Linked DNA regions of Pelodiscus sinensis. The protein of the gene in region 2 purifies or fractionates together with the protein of the main gene of each other region. This does not show direct contact. Links are inferred from orthologs where the notes say so. Each region holds a gene or a part of one and is shown on either strand. Other genes may lie near its edges. The genes, in order: PLXNA1, NRP1 and UBR2.

Region 1 (3,747 bases), on a different chromosome or scaffold from region 2:
GCAGGGCTGGCCTGATGCTGAATGGGAGCTGCCACAGTCTTCTGAGTTCAGCCACCTGTGCATGTCTCCGTGTGCACGCGTGGTAGGGTGGCTGTACAGATTTTGTCTCGTTGAATGGGCTATTGCTGTATGGGTTGGTTTGTAGACGTAGGGGTATGTGTGTTACGGTGCAGCTCTGCAGAACGGTGCATGTAGCAATGAGTCTTTTTGCAGGAATGTTTCTTTGGGGCGTGAGAGTTTATGGATCCCTGTGCAAGAAGGTAGGGTTGCGTGAGTGTGTCTGTGCACAGGAGGGTGATTCTATAGGCGAGTCTCCCTGTGCCACGTGGGGTGAAGTGAAGGGATATATCCAGGAAAAAAACCTATCCCGCCATTTGACCAGCAGATGGCAGTGGTACCCCCAGAGATGTGCTGCGCTTCATCTCCCATAGCTCACTCAGCCAGCTAATACTGTGGTTCCCCAGGTTTGGTTTTTTCTCCCCACCTCCCTTAATCCAGTTTTTCGGTGCCCTGTTGCATTCCCTGTCCCCAGAACAGTGGTCTGCAGATAGATAGGCTCAGCCTCTTGGGGCTGCACTGTAATCATCAGGTCACAGATGTGATGTGTCCTTCCCCTCCAATTTTGCCACGGAGTGTGGCCACCAGCCCCTGAAGCTGCTCTCCACCTGGGCTCCTAGGTGATGCTGGCCAGGCTGAGTGACCCTCCAGGGGCCCTTTGGCCTGTGCCTCTCCCAGCTGGCTCCGCAATGCACTTGCTATCTGAAAGGTATCTGTTAGCTACTCTGCAAAGGGTATTGCAGCAGTCAGGAAAGTGCGGCTGAAGAGTACAGGGAAGGATTGGATCTTCGATGCTTTTCATGCCCACCACTGAGCTGTTTGTCCCCCACCCCCACCCCCCGTGCTCTGGCCAGCCTGAGAAGACTGGGGATGATTCCCCCCTTCCTCACCCAGGAGCGAGGCTGGGGGTGGGGCTGGGCTGTGGGGAGGCGGGGGACTGTTGGGCCATGGGGGGACAGGGCAGCCACCAGCCTCTCAGAGCTTGCACACACACCCCAGAAATTCTTGGGTACAGGCTTGGGGAGAGGCAACTCTTACAGGTGAGAGGGGAGGCCAGGGGAGTCCATATTGTCACAGAACCACATACATTAGAGACAGAAAAGTCCTATGATGTCATCTTGTGTCATTTACACACACACACGCACACGCGTGTACACATGCAGGAATGTTCACCGCACCTCCAGAATGGTGAGCTCTTTCCTTACTGCAGAGATTTCCAGAGAGTGTCCTTGGGGTGAGGAGTTTAATGATGAGCACATCCGCCCTCTGGGGACTGGCCAGAGTCCCCCCCATCTCTTTTCATGCAGGCCACCGAATGAGCCCCTCAGGTAATGTGTGAGTAACTGCAGTGCCCTGTCCCTCTTGGAGGCCTGACCAGGGCTTTGGCACAGCCGGAGAAGAGGCTGCCCTGACTAATCCCGCCTAGGTTTGATCTGACCCCTCTGCAGGCCTGGACTGGACTTTGGAAGCTCAGTGAGGGTGTGCATGCCAGTGCTATGCGGATGTGATCAATAAAGCACCCTGATCAGCGCAGGGTGCAACAGTGGTGACTGAAATGGTGTTGGGCCTGGCTTGTCCCTGGACACACCGGCTGTGTCGGAGGTAGGCGTTATTACTGTTGTGATTATGACTTGCAGCTGACCTGTGCACTGGTTCAGCTGTGCCATTGCTAACAAGGGGTTCTCGCTGTGCACCTGAGCCTTGATCCACAGGGCTCCCCACACATAGCAGTCCCAACCCTGAGCCCTCACTGATTTGCTGCTATTGGAACCAGTACGCCAGAGGTGAGAACTTGGCCTCACTTGCCCAGTCCCCTGGGCATCCCCTGCTTCTGACATGTGCCTTTCCATTGTCACCTGCCCATTGTGTGGGGCGGTAGGCGGAGAGCTAATTACTAAAGCTGCAAAGCCCTGAGAATGGTTTTTTCTGCCTGCACAAAGTACTGTATAAATCAAGACGGCTTGGACGGAGCTGAAATGAAATATTCCTTGTTTCCTTGCCCAAATCCGCTGTTTCAGTCTGGTTCCAAGGCGCTGGCCCATATTGCACATTTGAATTTAAAAGCAGGCTTGCGCTGAGGCTTTTTTTAAAAAAAAAATAGATTAAAAAATAAAGTTCCTCCTGCTTTGGTGTTGTGCTGCCTTCCCAAGTAGCTGCTAATTACAAGGGTAACCCTTTGTAGGCTCTGCTCTGTAAAAGAAGGCACTGGGGGTTGGTGCACAGTGGGGCAGTAGAAAGGCCAGAGACAAAGGCTTGTGGAGTGGTTAGAGTAGGGAGCATCACATTAAGGAATCCTGGCTTCTGGTTTGGGCTTTGGGAGGGAAGAATCATCTAGGTAGGGCTGTGGATTCGGAGTGGAGCCTTCTGGGTTCTAGTCTGAGCTAGGGATGAGAATGGTTAATGGATTAACTAGTAAGCCTCACCTTAATGGGTGCTGCACACTGGTTCTGGTTAACCAGTAGGGGCTGGAGCAGCTCGCTGTCCACTGAGAGCGGGGAACTGCACCAGCCTCGGGGCCCACTGCAGGCAGGGGTTGTTCTGACCGGTTGGCTGGAACAGCCCCTGTCCATGGCAGGGTGGCTGCTCTACCCCCGTGAGGCTGGAGCAACCCATTCCCCCTAGCCTCCCTTTAATCCGTTAACCGTGTTTAACCGGTTAACCCAGAGGTGGCCAACCCGCGGCTCACGAGTCGCATGAAAAAAAAATGGCGGCTCCTGACAGAACCCGGATGGAACCCGGAACCGCTCAGGTCAGCTGCTCACGGCCCCCAGCGTACTGTGTCATATCCTGCATGTGCAGGCCAGGTTGCAGACCATGTCCCAGTCTGTATGTGCTAGTAGCCGGCTGCTGAGCGCAGGCAGTGGCAGTGACGAGGGCTTCAGGGGTGGCGGTGGCGCCAGTGGCAACTCTGGGACCTGGGCATAAGGTTAGTGGTAGAGGAGGATTGGGTTAGAGTGGGGAGGGGAGGTGTCTGGCTCTGGGGAACGGAAGGGAGGGGGATTGGGTTGGCGGGGGTGTGCATGGTGTGCCAGCCGCTCAGCGCACATGCCCCAGCGCCTGGAGGGAGACACGTGGCTGTAGCGGTGGCTCCAGGACCCCAGAATTAAGTTAAAGTGGGGAGGAGGGGGATTGGGTTAGAGCAGGGAGGTTCCTGGGGGAGGGGAGGGGAAGAGCAGCCAGTGTGCTTCCTGAGAACCAGGATCCCCAGGTACTGGCCCTAGCTGTCTCTGTCCCGTCCCCCTGGCCAAACCCCAGCAACCTGCCCCCACCAGCACAGTTGGGCCACATTAGTGAGGCTTGGGGGGGGGGGGAGGGAGGTTGGAGCAGTTGTTTTTTTTTGCATCTCACTTGTGTGGCCCCGACTGACTTTTCTGTGGGTCAGTGACCCCTGACTCAAAACAGGTTCCCTGCCCCTCTCATAAATAAAGACAACGCTGAAACATTTTGTGTTTGACATATTTTATTTAAAAATGAAGCCTGGCCAACAAGCCCCAATTTGGGGCCAAGCCCCCATCTGTCCGCAGCATCATAACACTCCTGTACCTCCGCAGACTCCAAACCTGAGTCTATCATACACTGGAACCCCCTGTCCTGAGCGCCTCTCATCCCCAAACTCCTGCACCCTCACATCCCCAGTCTTCTGCCACAACACTCCTGCACCATCCACACACTGCAGATCTGTATCCTGAG
Region 2 (3,747 bases):
ACTGCGCCTTTAGTCGCGCAGTGACACACAGTGGGGCGTGTGTATGGACAGACGGGGCTGTGGGACTAGGGGTGGGATGGGCACTGGCCACATAGTAGCAGACAGCGGGGATGCCAGACTGTGGATAGCGAGCACAACTGGACACTCAGGGCGAGAGAGGGGAGACCTACTGCGGGGTACACGGCGGTGCTGGAGCCCGAGCGCCCTGTGCGGTGCATGGCCAGGGGTGGGCAGCGCTGAGCGCACTGCACAAAGCAGGATGGGGGCAGCGATGGTGGATGCGCTGGAAGGTGCAGGACGGACGGTGGCAGTGAACAGCAGGGATGGTGGGCACGCCACATAACGCAGGCCGGGGTCCGTGCTGGTGAATGCGCAGGGTGGTGTGTGGTGGGGGGCGGATGGTGGTGACCCAGCGCAGCGGGGCGGGAGTCAGAAAGGCTGGGTACACTGGGCTGCACAAAGCGGGCAGCGAGCCCTGGAGAGTGACCATAAGGGACAATGAGCCCGGTGGGAAGAAGAGCCTGACTGTGGAGAGGCTAGAGCCAAGGAGGCGGCGGGAAAGGGAGAGGAGGGACGGCGGCTCACGGACACGCTGGGCGCTGAGCCATGCCGGGGGGTGAGCACAGGGCGCGCCGCGTCGTGGATGGGAGGTGACGGGACGAGGTGATGGGCAGTGCCCAGCGGGCACTATGCAAGCAGCAGGGGCTGCGCTGGAATCTGTTGCTTAATGACCGCGCCGTGGCCTCCGGCTCTGTCCCGGTGCAGCTGGATACCGCACGCTTTGTCAGCTCCACTTGGCTTTACCTGGCGCCCAGACCTGCTGTCTTCAAAGGGAAAGGGGCGGGCCTCTCTCCCCCCCCCCCCCCCCCGCCGCCTCTCGCCGTGGCTTCCAGCCCCCTCTGAAGTTCAGACCCCAGCGTGTCCTGTTTGTTTGTTGGTCCTTCCTTTCTGCCGATGTCTTGGGGGGCTGAGGAGGAGGAGGAGGAGGAGGAAGAGGGCGGGGAGGGGGAGGGGACTGGGGCTGTGGAGACGGCGGCTCCTCTTCCTCTCTTATTGCCACTGAGTTGCGCTTCTCCTCAGGCTGCAGGGAGGAGCCGCCCGGCGCGAGAAGCAGCCCGGCGCTTCACACTTCCCTGCGATCCCAGTCCTCCGCCTGGATGCCAGTCAGAGCCGCTAACCCGCCAGGCAGCAACGTCCCATTTGCAGGTGCCCGGCCGTAGCCAGCCGTGGTGCCCTGCACTCTCCCCCTACACAGCAGGTCAGTCTTAGGCACGAACACTGGCGGCTGCTGGGGGCCCCGTACAAAGGGGACAGCGCGGGGGCAAACTTGTTTGTGTGGCTGAGTTGCAGGCGAGCTGCTCTGGAGAAGAGAGGGAGGCAGTTTGCAAAACTCCGGTCTCTCCCCGCTCATCGTCTCTCTCTCCTCTCTGCAGATCCCCCTCCTCCCGGACCCCTCCCGAGGAGAAATCTTCCGGGAGCTCCAGAAGCCTCCAGGATTTGTTGCTGTTGTTGTCAGTTGGCTTTCTAGACTCTTTGGAAATGGCAGGGGCAGCGACGCCTGGGAAAGGAGCGACTGTGGGAAAAGGGAGAGGAAACCAGAGCTAAATGACAGGATGCAGGCGACTTGAGACACATACACAAAAAGAAGCGTCTCTGCCACCCGGGACTCAGCTGCTGCTGCGGACCGAGCCTTCTGCTCCCCTCTCCTGCCGGAGGATTTAAGAGCTGAGAGGAGTTGTGTGCTGTGAGGAGTGAGGAGTTTTTTCCCCTCTCTCTCCTTCTACAATCAGAAAGGAAGATGGATTGGGGACTTCTTTTGCAATATGCAGCCCTCACCTTCACCCTAGCCAGGGCTTTAAGGAGCGGTAAGTGACAGTGAAGACAACCGATTTCAAGTTATTAACTAATTCAGAGAATATTTCCAGAGTTAGGGCCCAGTGGTGAGTTCTAATAAACAATGAGATCTGTTTTGCGCTGGAAGGAAGATCAACCTGATATTAGAATAAGAGGAACTTTTCAGTACAAATGATTTGCACCCTCCTGTCACATAATCATCACACGCCCTTTAAACTTTATTTTCAGCCCCTTTTGGTTGTTATCTAAAGCGGGACTGCTCGCTTTCACAAGTTTAGAGCAGCCAATTATCTTAATAATGTTTCCTCCCATAGGCAATTAAATAAGACTTAAAATCTGCAAGATAACAAGCACCTTAAAGGAAGGCTTTTGTGCCGGGGATGGGGGGAGTTCAGACTATCATCTTTTATAGTTGTAGATGCCTAGCAGGTAGTCTTGTCAAATAAGACCTAACCTATTTATTGCAATAGTCTGGAGTTCTCATGGAACTTGAATAGTGTCTATAGAAGAATGTGATAGGCTTGCAAGGGTTTAGGATTCAAGTGTAATAGAGAAATCTCATAACAATGACTTTAATATCTAGTTTACTTTCAGGCAACACTTGAAAACATAGCTAATTAAAAAGAAGGTGCTCTTCTTGAACAATGCCTTGGCACACTATTTCCCTGAATTGTGTACTTTTTAAGATGGACTAATTGTAGTATTGTTTGACATTTAACTAAGAGATATGAGCAAACTCCTGCAAATTTTCCTTTCCCAGCAAATCCTGAGCAATTATTATTAACTAATTATCAAATATTTACTTTTGCCTGACTAGGCTTTCAATCAAAGTAATTAAAAAAAGAGAGCATCCTCCACTTGCAGTGGTATATTGTTTTAATATACAAGTGGTGTCTTGGAGTGGAGAATGTAAATCACATTTTATGATGGAAATTAATCTCTTTGCAATAAATTTTGAGGAGGATGTCTAATTTAATAAGCAATGGATTCCTTCTTCAGTGATCTGACACAGAAGCAAACACATCCAAAAAAGAAAACATGTGCCAGTCTTAAGCAGTGAATCTTTAGTGAGATCCAGCCTGGTCTAACCCTTGTAAGCTGTAGGTAAGAAGGTGGGGAGTAACATTAACCTCCTCTTTCTGTCTGAAGCCATTATTTATAAATGTGAAATGACTGCTCCATATTTCTGCATCACTTTGGAGCTGTGGCAGAAGTGGTAAAATAACAGATATTAAACTGAAGCTTATAGGACTAAATGAAAAGGAGTGTGTTATAGGGGTGATATTGCAACATTACTGGTAATCGTCTTCCTTTAAAAACAGAGCAGAAATAGGGAGGGCTGTTGTTGAAGAAATTGTCTGAGAAGCAGGGCTGCTTGTGTAGGTATAGACATAATAGCCCTCCTGGAGTCACCAAGGCCATTAACCTCCTCTGTGACTTACCAGACCTGTTAATGCCAATGTCCACCTCCTTCCAATGCTAGTGTCTGCTAAATTAATTCATTAACCTTATTTAGAACTAATGGTCCAAAGTCATCAGAAACTGCTCTTCTTAATTAAGTGTTGAAGAGATTGTACAGAGCCAGGGAGTCTAGCAGTCCGCATTATCTTATTATACAGTCACTTTCCCAGAAGTCACAGATTAAAGAGTACTGGTGGTAGTGAGTCCAGCCTCAATGTCTTCTGAAGTGACTCTGTCAAGTGACTAGAAGCAGCACTGTTTTATTTCACTCACTGAACAGACGCCAGATTCTGCCATGTTGTTTGCACAGAGCTGTAGTGGACTTAATAAGACAGGATCACTTCCCAAGTCTGCTACACACTGGAAATAATGCTAGGTTCCTTTGGAACCACAGAAAGGCAGTTCACAGTGATCACTAGCTGCATATTTTGA
Region 3 (3,747 bases), on a different chromosome or scaffold from region 2:
AATCAATAGGCAGCAGGTTTAAAACAAAGAAAAGGAAGTATTTTTTCACACAACGCACAATCAACCTGTGGAACTTCTTGCCAGAGGAGGCTGTGAAGGCAAAGACTTTAATAGGGTTAAAAATGAATTAGATAAGTTGATGGAGGAAGCCAGGAATGGAGTTCTTAATCTCTGTTTTCCACAAGCTGAAAATAGGTAATGGGGATAGCTCACTTGATTATTTGTTCTGTTCATTCTCTCTGGGTACCTGGGGCTACTGTCAGAAGACAGGATATTATACTGGATGGACCTTTGGTGTTACCCAATGTGGCTGTTCTTATATTCTTAGCTCTTCAGGAGCCACAGAATTACTTGCACAATAGTGTAACTGTAGCACTGCCAACCTTTGCACTATTTGTATTTGTCTTAAAGATCCAACTTCTGGATTTATGCAATTAAAAATAGAAAAAAGTAAATTTCTAGATCTCTTAGTGGTGGAGAAAATTCTTGGGAACATGACCCACATGCACACTAAAGCCTTTCAGAGTTGGGTGGTTGGAAAGTGGCAGTTGCTGACTGACAACTCAACTGTGCAGACAGCAGCGCAGAGGTAAGTGGAGCAATACCATACCATGCCATGCCATGCCATGCCATTCTTACTTCTAAGCTGCTGCTGGCAGTAGCTTTGCCTTCAGAGCTTGATTTCTGGCCAGCAGCCTCCACTCTCCAGCCTCTGAAGGCAATGCTGCTGCTAGCAGCTGTGCAGAAGTAGGGGTAGCAGTACTGCAACTACCTACAACTTGCCATCCCCTCCCAAACTCTTTCCTGGGTCAGAAGAACCCCTACAAGTACAACACTGTAAAATTTCAGATTTAAATATCTGAAATCATGAAATTTACCATATATAAAATCTTCAGAAATATACCGAAATAGAATGAGACGCTGATTTTGTAGGACCTTGGCAACGACCATAAGGAGGTGGGGAAGCTGCCATAGGTGGTGCATTGCTTAGGACAAGCAGCAGCAAACCTGTAGGCCAATATGAGAGGCACTGGTCCCCAGCGCAGTGGTCAGGGTCTCAAAGCCTGGGCAGCACCGGGAATGGGGAGGTGGGGGGGGGGAGGCAGAGGGGCCATGACGTCAGTCAACCAGCCAAGCGAAGGGACCTCTGTAAGGAAGGACAGAGGGCCAGCTCCAGCGCTAGGACTACATCCCCCACAATGCACCGCCAGCTCACGATGGCGTCTCCGCGGCGGAAGGGAGAGGGCAGTTATACCCCGCCCGGCGGCGAGGAACGGGGAGGGGCAGAAGCGGAAGTGGGTTCCCCCCGCGGGGAGGCCGGCTGGGTCCGGTTCCGGGTGTCACCTACTTGGTGGTGCCGCTGGAGGGGGGAGGAAGATGGCGTCGGACTTGGAGACGGAGGTTCAGGCCATTGACAGGAGCTTGCTGGAATGTTCCGCCGAGGAGGCTGCCGTGGTGAGGCTCGTCCCCCGGGGGCCGTTAGGGGAGCGGGCCTGCGGGCGGGCTGGGTGTGTGGGCAGGGGGGTCCGTAGGGCCAGGCCCGGCAGTGGGGGGAGGCGATCTCTCGCGCTGCCTTAGGGGCGGGCGGAGGTGGCAGGGAGGTAAATATGTTTGATGGCGAGGGGCGATTGTGGCGGGGCTGTTTCAAGGGGCCCCGTGAACTAGAGACTCTCTCGTGTTAACTTGCTGCCGTGTCAAGCCCGCTGAGGTGTGACAGGACGTGGAAGCGAAGAGCAAAGTCAGCTCTCCCGTCTGCTTGGCTTGTGCCAAGCCTTACTCGAGTCCCACTTCTACGGCTTCCTCTCCCAGGCTGGTCACTTGCCCGGCAGTCTCTGATTTCAACAGGTTGTATTTCGGGTTGCTGGCTCCTCTTCCCTTCGCAGTTTTTAAGTTTTGTTCTTAAGATTGCTTGGGAGAAGGTTTTAAAAACAGTGTTTCCTTCTACCCGCCTCAGCTGCTTAGGCCCCAAGCTTGGAAAGAGCTTCATGAGTACAGATCCATGCACAGCAACCTATTGATTTCAGTGGGATTGTGTGAGAGAGCAGTGGTCTGCTCCCATACACCTATTTGCAGGGTTGTGGATTTCCTAAGTTTTTTTTTCCCTTTCTCCTCTCTCTGACAAGCAGCTGTTTTTCTGTGCCAACTGTATTTGGGGTTACACTGTACCTTAAAATTCAGTCACAAGATAACTGACCTCTTATGCTCATGGAGAGTGGAGAAAGAGAAGCATTCCCTTTTTGGGAACATTTAAGAGTAGTGTTCAATGGAACTAAGTACTTTTGTATGAGTGTTCTATGGTTCATATATGTAATTCAGTGGGCTCTCTTGGGTGTAACTGTTCATAGCATCAGAGCTTTATTTGTAAATGTCAATAACAGATTTATAATTACCTTATCAGAAAAAAAATTCCATGATTCAAATTATCATGTTTTTATGCTTTTAATATTTAAGTTATCTCTTTTAATGGACACTTGTGGTGGCAAATGTGAAATTATTTCAATGATAAATTTGATTTATTCCCTTATTTCGTCACATTTTATTCAGGTGCTGTGTTATTAGATGTAGGGAAATAAAAACACTTTTCACACAGTGGATATTTAAAATACTTACATAATCATGACATGGTAATTGTTACAGGTTCTTCAAACATTTATAAGAACTAGAGTGTATAAGGTGGCAAAGGGGAGCTGTTACTGGAGACTAAGTAGGGCCCTTTGGGGAAAGAAGCAGCAACAGACCATGAATTGTATAGTTTCTAATAAGATCCTCTCATCCTGTGATAAAATGTAATTTGGTCCCTTTTTCGGCCACACGTCATTTTACGTATCAATATTTACATGCAGTGATGTCTTTCAAATATGCAATAAATATGTTAGAGACTAAATTATACACTTTGTGGTAATTTTTTTTTTTTTGCCATTTAATTCTTCTGAAGTGATCAATTTTCTGAAATATCCTTTTGATTTTGTTTTACATTAAAGTACATAAATACACATGCTTTGCATTGTTAATTAGACTTTTTGCAAGGTCTTTGAGTCAGAAATACTTTTGAACTGGAACCAGCTCTGAGCCTTGCCTACTGATCTCTGGTTGCCAGACTTGCATGCTTGTAAAGTGAACCTTGCCATATTTAGTATTTTCACTGTCCAGTACTGATTTCTGTCATGTTTTTCCTGTTACTCATTTTGTCAGTCATTTTTTTGTGACTGTTCAGGAAAAAAAGCTCATTTGATTGTGCTCTGGAATGTAGTACTTTTTCCTCGTACAGGTTGAACCTCTCTAGTCTGGCATCCTTGGGACCTGACCAGTGCTGAACCAGAGAATTTGCTGAACCACACAGGAGGTCAATATTATCTATCAGCATCACAAATACTCCTACTGCTTACTGGGCTCTTAGAAGACATTTAAGGGTAAATTAGAGCTAAATAATAGCACAGAACACTGAGAGCCAGGACTGGTAGCTGTAAATAAACATTATGGGATCGTGGGACTCTTGGCCACACCCATAATAACTGCACATCTGGCTAACTAAAATCATGCCAGACCACAGATGTTGCTGGACCAAAGAGTGCCAGCCTAGAGTGGTTTAGCCTGTAATAGTCCATACTACTTTGCTTCTGATTCCTATTTAGGCAGGCCAGGACTTGTGAATCGAATGTTTAAAAACCCCAGTGAAGTCATGTGGATTCTTTAGACACAGGTTGTAGCTGTGGTGGGTTCGGGGGGGACAGAGAGGACAATAGGCAG

What was found.
Region 1: the proteins of NRP1 (region 2) and PLXNA1 purify together in Homo sapiens (affinity purification with western blotting; 4 studies listed by BioGRID). This does not show direct contact. The link is inferred for Pelodiscus sinensis from reciprocal best matches to the Homo sapiens genes NRP1 and PLXNA1.
Region 3: the proteins of NRP1 (region 2) and UBR2 purify together in Homo sapiens (affinity purification with mass spectrometry; 3 studies listed by BioGRID and IntAct, counting the BioPlex papers as one, with this or other methods). This does not show direct contact. The link is inferred for Pelodiscus sinensis from reciprocal best matches to the Homo sapiens genes NRP1 and UBR2.

Annotation. Positions count from the first base shown.
Region 1 is NC_134721.1:24,047,838-24,051,584, reverse strand, and holds the start of PLXNA1 (plexin-A1), read left to right. Parts: upstream 1-1,530; 5' UTR 1,531-1,659; intron 1,660-3,747. UniProt on the Homo sapiens protein: Coreceptor for SEMA3A, SEMA3C, SEMA3F and SEMA6D. Necessary for signaling by class 3 semaphorins and subsequent remodeling of the cytoskeleton. Plays a role in axon guidance, invasive growth and cell migration.
Region 2 is NC_134712.1:230,631,983-230,635,729, reverse strand, and holds the start of NRP1 (neuropilin-1), read left to right. Parts: upstream 1-1,031; 5' UTR 1,032-1,798; coding exon 1,799-1,865; intron 1,866-3,747. UniProt on the Homo sapiens protein: Cell-surface receptor involved in the development of the cardiovascular system, in angiogenesis, in the formation of certain neuronal circuits and in organogenesis outside the nervous system. Mediates the chemorepulsant activity of semaphorins.
Region 3 is NC_134713.1:171,038,001-171,041,747, reverse strand, and holds the start of UBR2 (E3 ubiquitin-protein ligase UBR2), read left to right. Parts: upstream 1-1,274; 5' UTR 1,275-1,377; coding exon 1,378-1,455; intron 1,456-3,747. UniProt on the Homo sapiens protein: E3 ubiquitin-protein ligase which is a component of the N-end rule pathway.